3 linked regions of the Yarrowia lipolytica genome follow. The protein of the gene in region 3 interacts with the protein of the main gene of each other region in a pairwise test. Links are inferred from orthologs where the notes say so. Each region holds a gene or a part of one and is shown on either strand. Other genes may lie near its edges. The genes, in order: YALI1_D04969g, YALI1_B05242g and YALI1_F27041g.

What was found.
Region 1: the proteins of YALI1_F27041g (region 3) and YALI1_D04969g interact in binary tests that used the Saccharomyces cerevisiae proteins (3 or more experiments, as listed by UniProt). The link is inferred for Yarrowia lipolytica from reciprocal best matches to the Saccharomyces cerevisiae genes SAS10 and UTP25.
Region 2: the proteins of YALI1_F27041g (region 3) and YALI1_B05242g interact in binary tests that used the Saccharomyces cerevisiae proteins (3 or more experiments, as listed by UniProt). The link is inferred for Yarrowia lipolytica from reciprocal best matches to the Saccharomyces cerevisiae genes SAS10 and RRP36.

What each region holds. Positions count from the first base shown.
Region 1 is NC_090773.1:494,351-498,870, reverse strand, and holds YALI1_D04969g (uncharacterized protein), read left to right. Parts: upstream 1-1,932; coding exon 1,933-3,945; downstream 3,946-4,520. Other genes in the region: YALI1_D04978g (uncharacterized protein), read right to left, coding at 1-974; YALI1_D04936g (uncharacterized protein), read right to left, coding at 4,451-4,520. UniProt on the Saccharomyces cerevisiae protein: DEAD-box RNA helicase-like protein required for pre-18S rRNA processing, specifically at sites A0, A1, and A2.
Region 2 is NC_090771.1:522,385-525,729, reverse strand, and holds YALI1_B05242g (uncharacterized protein), read right to left. Parts: upstream 1,490-3,345; coding exon 647-1,489; downstream 1-646. Other genes in the region: YALI1_B05226g (uncharacterized protein), read left to right, coding at 3,035-3,345.
Region 3 is NC_090775.1:2,702,517-2,706,360, reverse strand, and holds YALI1_F27041g (uncharacterized protein), read right to left. Parts: upstream 2,224-3,844; coding exon 544-2,223; downstream 1-543. Other genes in the region: YALI1_F27017g (uncharacterized protein), read right to left, coding at 2,602-3,844. UniProt on the Saccharomyces cerevisiae protein: Primarily required at the G2/M phase. Essential for viability: involved in nucleolar processing of pre-18S ribosomal RNA as part of the ribosomal small subunit (SSU) processome.

The sequences.
Region 1 (4,520 bases), on a different chromosome or scaffold from region 3:
ACCCGACGGTACGACCGTCTGTATCTAAAGGTGAAGCCGCCGGCGTAGTGGATGCCGGGAATGATCCGCGTGGCAGCGTAGAAGACGCCAATGCGGAACGAGAGCGACACAAACACGTGGGGCGTAATGGTGCTGATAGCGCCGTAAAAGAAGTCGAACACGGCTGTGAACGATGACGGCACAATGGCGGCAAACGACTTGGCAAGCGCCGAGTACGAGTCCATGATGAGTGGAGGTAGCGGTGGGTACTGCTGCTTGGAGCTGTACTCGATTGTCACGGGTGGCTCGCTGGTGCTAGACTTGCGGAATATGAAGTACAGACAATAGACGGTGTATGCGAGGATGAGCGACGACTCCAGCGAAGAGCCCTTGCGCGAAATGACACCGTAGCTGCTGAGGCAGAAGCCCAGCGTCAGCACCATGCCGGCAAGAGTGCCGGTGCTTAGATCCACCGAGTCCGTGGCAATGTAGATGCGGTAGAGATTGTATGCGGTGGCGGAAATGACGCAGCCCGCGGAAATGAGCAGGACAATTTCCCACGAATCGCTCTTGCGGTGCACGAGCCACTTGGACACCTGGCCAATGGTCTGAATGAACAGCAACGTGCAGAAGCCCTCGAGAATGTTGAAGAAGGGCGCGGAGCTCTGCATGAGCGCATCCCAGGGCATGACCAGCCGCTGCAGCGCCACAGGCTCATTGTTGTTGGCGGTATTGAGACTCAGGTAGAAGATGAGCAGCGCCGGAATGAGAATGGTATGCAGATAGTAGAGAATCTGCGCGACATGTCTCAGCTTGGTACGGCCACTAAGTATGCGGAAGGTGGACAAAATGAAATACGATACCACCAGCGTGAAGGAGAAGGCCAGGCCGCAAAACCGCCCCCCAATGTCAAACGACAGTGGGATTGTGATCATCACCAGCGTCAGGTGGATCAGCGAGTATGCTGCTCGAAACAGCGTTAGTATTGTGATCATAGGGAAAAGAGAACAGAACGGGGTTCTGGAGTTTGTGTGATTGGCGTGTTTGTGTTTGTGTTCACCAATTGTCTTGTTTCGGGTTGAGCCGTGGAGCTGTCGTCTATCACCGTCTGTGTCTATCGTCTCACTGTGTCGCTTCTATCACTACAGCCGAGGTATCAGGTCGCGGGCGAGGCAATGTGATGGGTCGTTTTGTGTCAGATTGTAGGGAGTTGCCAGGTTTCCGATTGCTTTGGTTTCGCTTCAACCGGCTTTTGTTTTGCGCTCGGCTAATCTCTCGCTCGGGTGTCTGTCTAACACTACTTGTAGTCTGTGATTGAGCTGACGCGTATGGCAAGCCCTGGCACAATAATCCAAATTCCAAATTTGCACACCCAACCGTATTGAGATAAGCTTTATTTTTAGTCAGCTCGGGTGGTAGAGATACCACGGAAGTAGTGGTGTGCTGTTGTTGTCAGGACACGTTAAGTGGGACGATTGAGTCGAATTGTCTTCCAATAAGATCTCTTTTCAGCCTAACTACCTCGGAGACTGCCCTTTCTCCTCTTATATGGACGCTCGGGTCTCTTTATTTTAGTCAGGGCTCGGGCTGAGACACAGTTAATTTTATGTGCATCTCCATACAGCGGGGACAGGGTGCAGGTTCAGAATGTGCTGGTACTGTACTCACACGAGTACAAGGGGGCTTGTGATTGTTTGAGGAGCCGAAATTATTGTGGTGCCAGATGATCGGCTCATTTAACGGTGCGCTAGAAGCGGGGTAACATCGTTATTATTACCCTTAGTCTGGACCCAGATGAGATCTATGGGTACAGCAGAAGGGGGTGCGATACGGGTATACGTACGTACATACAAGTACAAGTAGTGTCTGGCTGATGCTGCTCCCTCTGAGGGACAGCCTCCGTCGTGTCTTTCGCCGAGTCTCCGTTCGAATCCTGGTTGCGTTCATTTACGCATGTTGATAAAAAAATATTTTAGGCTTCTGGAATATGCAGTGGGAAAAATATCTGAGGATCAGAATATCTTACTCATACACGCAAGAATGGCTCGATCTCACAAAGTGACCAAACCCAAGCGCCAGCAGGTCGACACATCGGGGTCGTACAACGCCCTGATGGTGCTGATGGGCGACAATGTCAAAAAGGCTGAAAAACGGGTTGAGGAAGAGGAGCCGGTGGAGCAGGAGCTGGAGGAGGACGATATTGAAGGTGCTGGAGAGGAAGAAGAGGAGGTCGACGAGGAGCAAGAGGAAGAAGAGGATGCTGATGACGCCGAGGAGGACGCTGAAGATGATTCCGAGACCGACAAATACGATCCATACAAACTGCATTTCGAGGCTGAGGAAGCCAAGTACGTTTCTGTCATCAAGTCTGAGGAGTGGAAAACCTCGTCGGAGAAGACCAAGATTGGTAGCCAGCCCGTTCGAATCACATACACAAATCTGGAGGATGCCGACGAGCTGTTGGACTTTTCCGAAGCCCAAAAAACCGAGTTTAGCAAGTACACAGTTCGGCCCCGGATCAAGGATGGCTTCAAGCAGCTCAACGGGTCTCTGACGTCGGTACAAAAGGCCATTTACCCTTCACTCATGGCCTACCGGGATCTGTGCTACGCCACCTCGAGTCTCAGTGATACCGAGGAGTTTTCGCGGCTAGTGGCCATGCATATTGCTCAGCATGTTGTTCGAACGGCTGAAGAGGTGGCATACAACACACGTATTTTGAAACGAAACGCCGAGGAGGGAATCCACGACGTTGAGTTCCGGGATCAGGGATACACAAAGCCACGAGTGCTGGTGCTAGTGCCCACAAAGAACGCCTGTTTCGAGTTCATGCAACTACTGGTTGGCGCTTCAGGAGTCGATAGAGAAGATAACAAGGCGCGGTTTAACAAGGCGTTCCACGAGGCTGGCGCTGTGCTCGACACCAAGCCCGAGGACTTCCAGAAGGCCTTCAAGGGCAACACTGACGACATGTTCTGTCTGGGCGTCAAGCTACGAAACAAGAGCATCCGGTACTACTCGTACTTTTACCAGGCTGACATAGTATTTGCGTCTCCTCTGGGTCTCAAAACGCTTGTGGGCAGTGAGGGTGACTCCAAGCGGGAGTTTGATTTCCTGTCGTCCATCGAGATCGCCTACTTGCATGAAACCAACCACATGGAGATGCAGAGCTGGGACAATGTGTTGACGGTGCTGGGCCAGACTAACTTGCTACCCAACGAATCTCATGGCTGTGATTTTAGCCGAGTCAAGAGCTTCTATCTTGACGGACTAGCCAAGCACTTCCGACAGACCATTGTCGCCTGCCAGTTTGTCACTCCAACCATCAACTCTGTCTTTTCCAACACAGTCAACTTTGCGGGCAAGACCAAGATCACTCCAATCTACAACGGAGAGCTAGCAGTGGCAGGCATGAAGATCCGCCAGATTTTCACCCGGTTCAAGGCTCTGTCTGTGTCCGATGAAATCGATGCCCGATTCAAGGCCTTTGTGCAAATCACGCTTGAGGGTATGATTCGCTCGGGAGACTACTCCGGAACTCTCATCTACGTGCCCACCTACGTCGAACTTGTGCGTCTCAGAAACTACATGGACGAGAAGAACATTTCTTTTGGTGCCATCAGTGAATATTCTTCCATCACCGAGGTCAAACGACACCGAACGCTCTTCCGAGACGGCCGAGAAAAGATTCTGCTGTACACGGGACGTCTCCATCACTACCGACGATACTTTGTCAAGGGAGTCAAGTCGGTAGTTATCTATAAACTCCCTGAGAACCCGGCCTTTTACAGAGAGCTACTGCTGTTTCTGACCCACTCGGTCGATGAGGGAACGCTCGAGCAGTCTATGGCAAAGTGCAGAGCCCTGTTTACCATTTACGACCTGTTGGCCTTGGAGAGAATTGTGGGAACGAAGAGAGTGAAGACAATGGCAAAGAGCGGAGAGAGCAGTTATGAGTTTTATTAAACACATAACTCCCAGACCGAAGCTGCTTATACACCTAATGACGGATTCTGATCTCACTCATTTCTTTCCCGGGTAGCTCACTCTCTACAATCTCTTTTAAGACCACATATATAGACACTAATAAAGATACAACTGGTCGAGATCATGCGTGTACCCACTGTAACTTGTGAGAGAGCTACTGTATTTATATGTCCTTCGTTTCACACACGGCTAAACATGAGACTTTTCGGTATAGCACTCATGGGTTGTAGACACGATCCGTTTGATATAAGAATGCAACTATCATGTTCTTCTCGTATGATCTACTTGTAGTTAAGGTACTCTCAACTCCTCGTATCCGTTCTTCTCAGAAAAAAGGTCCTGCCTGTCCATTTGCACACCACAAACAAAGCCTCTTCTCTAACAGATAACCACTGCTTTTTAAAAAGTCTCATTTCTATATATCCACCATTGCTTATTTCTCTATTTTGCCATCTGTCGATGGATGTTAGTTGTAAGTTGCTGACTACTCAATCAACTTGCTGACGGCCATGGCGATGCAGCACAGGGACACGTACGGACTGAGTCGTTCGCCA
Region 2 (3,345 bases), on a different chromosome or scaffold from region 3:
AAGACGCATTCTCACCTTAAATATCAACAACGTGCCGGAGATATGATCTGGACGGCTGGATATTGTCCAATTTGCAAGTATGAAAGGCGGAAAACAATCCAAAAACCTCCAGAAACACTATCATCCACTCCAATTCTTCCCTGCTCATCCACAACTCCCTCCAGAGTACACCCCTCCAACTCCATTTAGGTTGCCCAAAAGGCGGGGTTTGGGCACCCACTAACTTTGGCCCATCTGTTTGCTGGTAAAGCGCGCATCTTTTTCCGGCCTTTGTGTGGAAAAAGTGAAAAGATGATCATGTGACCAAGTAAGGGGTGTTTTGTCACGTGACCATATCCGTGTCTCTGAGAGAGTTTTCACCGACGACCCTAAGATACTTCGCCTGTTTCCGGATCGACAGGTTAACGCCGCCATTCGATCACGATAGCAACTTATTGGCAAGGGAGAGTAGTCTCATATGGTTGCGGATTGTATACGGATTGGACTGCACCATACATTGATCTTTCTTTCTTTCTTTAATATACAAATAAAATATCTTATGCTATACAAGTGCGGTACAAGTAAAGTACCAACTTTTGGTCTCTGCTTCTATGAATAGTATGAGGTAGCAACAGTTTCGCACCTTATACCGCCTTTCCCCCGTTGCTTAATCCCGCCCACTGAACATATCCTTCTTCTCCTTTCCAGTGATCTTCTTTCGTCGTCGCTCGATGGCTCGATCGATATCCTTCTTCTTCATAGTCTTGAACTGTTCCGTCAGCACCAGCTTTCGCTGGTCGCTTCGCTTCAGATAGTAAGGGTTCTTTCCATCCTTGGCCTGCTCTCTCTGCTGCTGTCTGTGCTCGTTCAGCACCTTCTTTCGGAAGTCTCGCTTCTCCAGAGTCTTGAGTTTCGACTGCAGCGACTGGATCTGTGTCTGGATCTGGGATCGAATGTACGATTCCTCCGTTTTCTTCAGCTTGGCCTGCAGCTCCGCAATCTCCTCTCGTCGGTACTCATCCAAAAATGCATAGTCCTCTCGAACACGGTCCTCATTAGCCTTTCCATAGGTGGCATCAAAACGGATATCTCTGTAGAGCTTGGAGTCACGTGAAGCAGAGTCAGCTCCGGATTTCGTCATGGTCAGACCAGGGATAGGTCGGATCACACTCACTCGCTTCTTACTGGAAGCTTCACTGGGAGCATGCTTGAGTCTCTTCTTGGGTCCTCCATCTTCCTTGTTGTTGCCCTTGCCCTTGTTATTGCCCTTGTAAGAGCTTCTCTCGTACCCTCCGGAGTTTTCTTCGGGTCCCGAGTCGCTGTCACTGTCGCTGTCGTCTTCGTTCTCCTTATCGAGATTCTTTTGCGCGTTGCGAATGGCTCCGAACGATAACGAGCTCATTTCTTCGGGCCCAGAGTCCTTCTCCAGACCGGCAAATGTGTTGTAATCGTCCGAATCACTGTCGTCAGCTCGCTTTCGAACCAGATTTCTGTTTGAGTCTCGCTTCATAGTGTTGTGGTGATATCGAAAGAATATTTCACAGCTGAAGCGATATGCAGATATTTTTTTAAGGTTCCATAATGGAACATCAGCTGGCTGCTAGACAGGCTCTATACAGGCTCGTGCGGTAGGTGACGTCAAAGGGAAAAAGCGAATATACGAAGGATACTGACAGAAATGTGTCTATATCAACAAATACAAAAATCGGCTACGTTTTCACCAAATTTGTGCTACTCTTCTGGGGAGTGTCTAATGACGGACTTTGAACTTTAATTAAGTGGTGCGACTGAGCCTGACTGAGTGAGCATTGGCTGGGGGGAGTCTGTAATGGTGTTAGGTGAGAGCATTGAGAGGAGTCGTATTCAAGCTGGAGAACAAGTAGGATCTGAGAGAGTGGTAAAAATGGTAAGAACTTGGCTTGAAACCCTTCTTTCGAGACTGGTAAAGAAACCCCAATTAGTTTACTTGGAATAGTTGAACAATGGGTGATATAGACGGGCGAGTCTGGTGTTGGATGCCTCGTCTTCCCCGTTCATCGAGGTTTGAACCCTGTCAGATCGGACTGAAATGTGAACTGTCTGGACCACCAGTTGTGGAAGTCTGAGTTCTCTTGTTCCTCATGTACAGTATAACCCGTGTTGTTGCATTCGATACAGAGATTCTCTTAACTGATGTTATACTTAATCAAATATTGAGGGAAAATAAAATAAAAATAATATATATAAAAATAAAAAAACCCAACACAAAACAGCAACAACTAGAGGAAGTACACTACAAGTCATTGAGAATAAACGCTAGGGTAATACTACTGCACCTGTTCTGAATAGCTGTTTCCACAGCATTCGATGTCCTATTTCGACAGTTCGCTAACCGCTTACATTGTAGTTCAAAGACAACAAGTCCGCCCTAAACTATGTACAACGATACATCCAGCAGACGTGGATCTTGTTTCATGTGCTTTTGCGAAATTCGAAACTGTTTTGGCAGACCATAAAAGCGAACCTGTTCCCCGTTGAATACGCACTGTTAGACGTTGGTCAGGGTTTTAGTTGCTTTTTTCTCTTCCATAGCCATGATTTATGCCGTTGTTATCGCCGGATATAGGGTGTGATATTAGGGTGCCAGTGTCTGACAGTGTGCCGGATATAAACGACTGTTCTGTGCCCAAACAGCACTGTTTTCGTCCGAATCAAGCCATTTTTCTGATTTTCGATAAACAGCTGGTATTTCGGCTCTATGGCCTGTTCCCATAGTCCCCTTGTATATAGTACCAACACCCATTTACCACTTGTATATTGTACCAACACCCATTTATAGACCCCCCAGATATATCCATTGCAAGAAACTCTAAAAAACGCATGTAGAGCAGAGCAGAGTGGTGGTAGAGAGACGCTTGGGAAACAAGAGTTGTTAAAGATTGGTCCGTCGGGTCAATTTGTCCCTGAAAAACACATCTTTTCTGGACCTGCGACGTCCATTTACCACATTATACGTTTCCATTGGCACTGCCTACTTGTAGCAGTCGCTTGGCGCGAACTCTATAGTGGAGAGAGCATGTACCGGGGTACGAGTACGAGCGCATTCGTGGCCACACCTGGCCAAACATCACCACATATGCAACTAACCGACGACCATAAGAAAGACCTGGAAAAGCTGGGCGAGGAATTGAAGGGCAAGGAGGAGCACACGGTGGCTGGGGAGGATGAGGAAGATGTCAACCATGGCGCCGACGATTCCGAAGACGCCGAAGACGAAGACGCCGAAGACGAGAACGACTACACCGAACTGGATGTGGACATTGTGTGCCAATTCATCAAGGACGCCGCCAGAGAGGCCGAGAAGACGGGCGACTACATTTCCTACGC
Region 3 (3,844 bases):
CGATGTGGAGTATGCAAATACGAGTCTAGGGCTGTCATTTGTACCAATACAAAGTATGCGTTTGCGTTCATTTGAAGAATCACGGTTGTGCAGGCAGCCTATACCATACGAGTGTGTCTCTTTAGCGGTCATGCGGTCCAAATAAAGGGTGTTTGGCCGTTTGAGAGAGGGCTGGTAGGAACCAACTGTCCATGCTCACCTCATGCTGAAAGATCCAAATTGTATCAAGAGCCTTTATGTTCATTTATTGCAGTATACAGCTACTCCAAAAAACTATAGACACTTATCTTACTCTCAGGAAGCTCAGTACCGTACAGTACCGGGAAGTACTCGTACTTGTAGTCTCGCTAGCGTAACTATCATGAGCATATATCAGAATAACTACTGAGACGCCCATTTGATTTCTAATCTGTTTCAGACGGTCAGAGACAGAATTACCAGACTATTGTACAAGCGCCGGTACAGTTAGTATACGCCATGACCAGCCAAAACTTTTACAACCTCAGTTCAAATCCAAAACCTCTATTACAACATGCATCTATATTACTCCCGGAACTTGGTAGATCGAGCCAGGTTCTTCTTGATACCGGTCTTCTCACCAGCGTAGGCACCAGTAGGCTGCTTGTAGACGGCCCGGGTACTGGCAAGCTTCTTCTTGGCCTTCTCGTACTTGATTCGCTTCTTGACTCGCGAGTTTCGATTCTCCTTCTTTCGGTGTGGCGTGAGACCCTTGTTTTTGAGAATCTGGTAATTGATGGCTCGCTTTCCGTTGTCGTCCAGCTTTTCCACGTCAATCTTGCCCTTCTTGGCGTCGAGGTAGACCTCATGCATGGCTTCTCGCTCCGCCTTTCGCTGCTGCTTCTTGGCCTTGAGGGCAGCAACAAACTCATCCACATCTTCGTCATCATCTCCACCAGCGCTCTTCTTGGAGGGCATTTCCTGGTAGTCATCAGCAGATCCTCCCTCGTCTCCAGAGTCGTAGAGATCATGCTCTCCCGAGTCCTTGATGTGGGCGGCCTGTTTTTCCTTGAGCTGCTGCTGTCGCTCGTACCATCGGTCCTGGTACGGTAGGTCAGCGTCTCCCTCAATCTCCTCCTGTTCTCGTCCTCGAGCCTGCTTGTCGATCTTGGCGGTATAGAACCGTAGATCTCGCTTTCGTCGGTCCTTGTCAGCCTGATCAACGTCATTAATAGCATGCTCACCATAGTCGGGCACAGCAGAGATCTTGGACTTGGACTTCTTGGCCTTGAAAGAGGTGGGCAGAGCAAGCTCGTCGTCAGAGTCAACTTCTTCCTCCACTTCTTCCACATCCTCGAAATCATCTTCAGGTCGTCGTCGGAATCGAGACAGATCGAGATCGTCAGAGACGTCACTCTCGGCGGCAGAAGCATCCATCAGCTCAGCACCCTCAGAGACCATCTCCTCATCAGAAGCCATCTCATCAACCTCCTCCTCGGGCAGACCAATCTCCTGGGCCATTCGCCACATTTCCCGGGCTTTTAGAATGGCTTCCATGATGATGTGATCTTTCATATTGGCTTTTCCGTTCTTGACGGAGTCCATGAACAGCGCAAAGTAGGCGTTCAGCACTCCAATGTAAGTTCGAAGAGCCGTCTTTTTGATCTCCACGATTTCAGGCTCATCATCCTCATCCTCCTCAGCCTTGTTCAGCGCAGCCATCTCCTCAGTCACTTTGGCAAGCTCAGCGTTCATGAGAACCAGCTCGGGGTTGAGTCGAACAAGCTGATCATACTGCTCCTTAGAAGACATGGACTCGATAGGCTTGACAGGAATGCTCTCTCGAACACCCTTGCCGGCTGTAGCAAGATCTGCATCCTCCTCGTCCTCATCATCACTGTCGTCGGCGGCCCACTCTCCAAGGAAATCACTCTCCTTCATCTGCTTGGCCTGCTTCTTCTGAAGCTTGAGAGCCTCCTCAGCTTCCAGCTTTCGATCCTCCTCGTCCTCGATCTCATCGGCACCGTAAAGCTCTCCCTTGCCCCAGGCCTCCTGGGCCTCTCCGTCGTCTTCTTCCTCTCGGTCGAGAATCTCATCATCGTCGTCTTCCTCATCCTCAGAGTCGCTGGGCTTGAATCCCATAACCTCCTCGTCACTCATCTCCATGTGGTCATAGTGACGACGTCTGTCTCCACGCATACTCTGCTCCAAAAGGAGCTTTTCCTGTTGCTGGTCAAAAGCATCCACGTCCGAGATGTCTGACATTTTTTGTGTGCGATGTGTATCGTAACTGAGGGCCAGAAATAATTTCAGCCTGCATGCAGATAAAATTATTTAAGCTCGGTCATGTGATGCATGTTGGAGCAGAGGAATGGAAAATGAATATTGCTGAATGGGAAGGTGATAAACGGAAATTCCAAATCAGTTAAATATAAAATCCACTCCGTATTGATGTATCTGCACAATTCTTATTATGCTTGAAATGGCCATTGTTGTACACCTACAACAGTTTTCAGATGTACATCTATCTGCCCATCCCATCTACTCGCATGTACTGTGGATACGATAGCTACTATACTAGTCCTGTAATACGTCTCCATACCATAGTTAACGTCTAATTATTGCATGCATCCTGTCTAAATCCTACTCGTCATCATCACTGTCTCCGACGTCCAAAGCGGGCATCTCAAAGTCCGAGCCCATCTCCTCGTCAGAATCGTCGACCTGGTTCTCAGCAACTTCCTCCTCTTCAATTTCCTCAAATTCGGTGGTGGGTTCGATATTAGAGGGTCTCTCAATAGCCTGAACAGGTTCTGCCATCGTCTCAGGCAGGGGCTCAAATGGAGCATCCACAACTACAGGGTTCTCAGGTTCTCTGAAAGCAGTAGAAGCAAATGTGTTGGTAGTGACTGGCGCAGAAGACGCAGAAACAGGCTCAATTCCGTTGGTTTGCTCCTCTTCCTCAATCTCCATTTCTTCGTCAAGCTCCTCTTCCTCTCCAAGAGACGAGGAAACAGGCAAGTATCGTCGTTCGGTAGTCAGAGGAGGAAGTCTAGGATGCACAAATCGGGAAATGGAAGTATCTCGGGGGTACTGCTGCTGAACCATGGCTAGAATACTGTGCTTGGAAGCCATAGAGGGATTGAGCGCTGAAGTGACGGCAGCAGACCGTCGAGCAGCATGCTTAGAAAGCAGGAGAGTTCGGTCAATGAGTCCTCGACATCGTCCAGATAGGTCACATACCAGCATGGTGGCCTCAAGAAATGTGTAGACAGTCTGTTGGGTGATATGGGAGATGGGAGACTCAAACAGATGAGACTTGGAGATGTAATCGGGGATCTCAGTCTGGCCGGCCTGAGACACATTGGTGCCGGGAGTGATGAGAACCAGAGCCTGGGAAACGGCCTTCTCAACGTACTCTTGAACAGAAGAGCCAGCAGAAATGTATCCGACGTTATTGAAGATGGTTGTGAGCAGATCCAGGGCAGCCAAGGTCACCGCAGAGTTGTCAGCAGAGATCATGTCGACAGTCTCAAGCAGGTCCTCGACGTAGGCAGAAATGTTAGCGCCAACAGTGTTAATGAGAGCCGAAAGCGACTGCATGGCGGCAATGTTGATTCGTTCGAATGTGGATCGCACCAGGTTCTGCTCAACCAGAGGAACATGGGCCTTGAAGTGGACCTGGGCCAGAGAGGTGACTCTGTTGAATAGAGGAATGATACGACCAACAGGAATCTTGACGGGCACAGCAGTGGGCTGGCTCAAAAATGCAGTCAGAAGAGTATACAGGTTTTCAATTGCCTTAGCACTGGCATAAATGTCGGCGGGAGAGGAACCGGACTTGGTATCGAATCCCCACGACTTTGTCTGCTCCACGGAAGCAAGA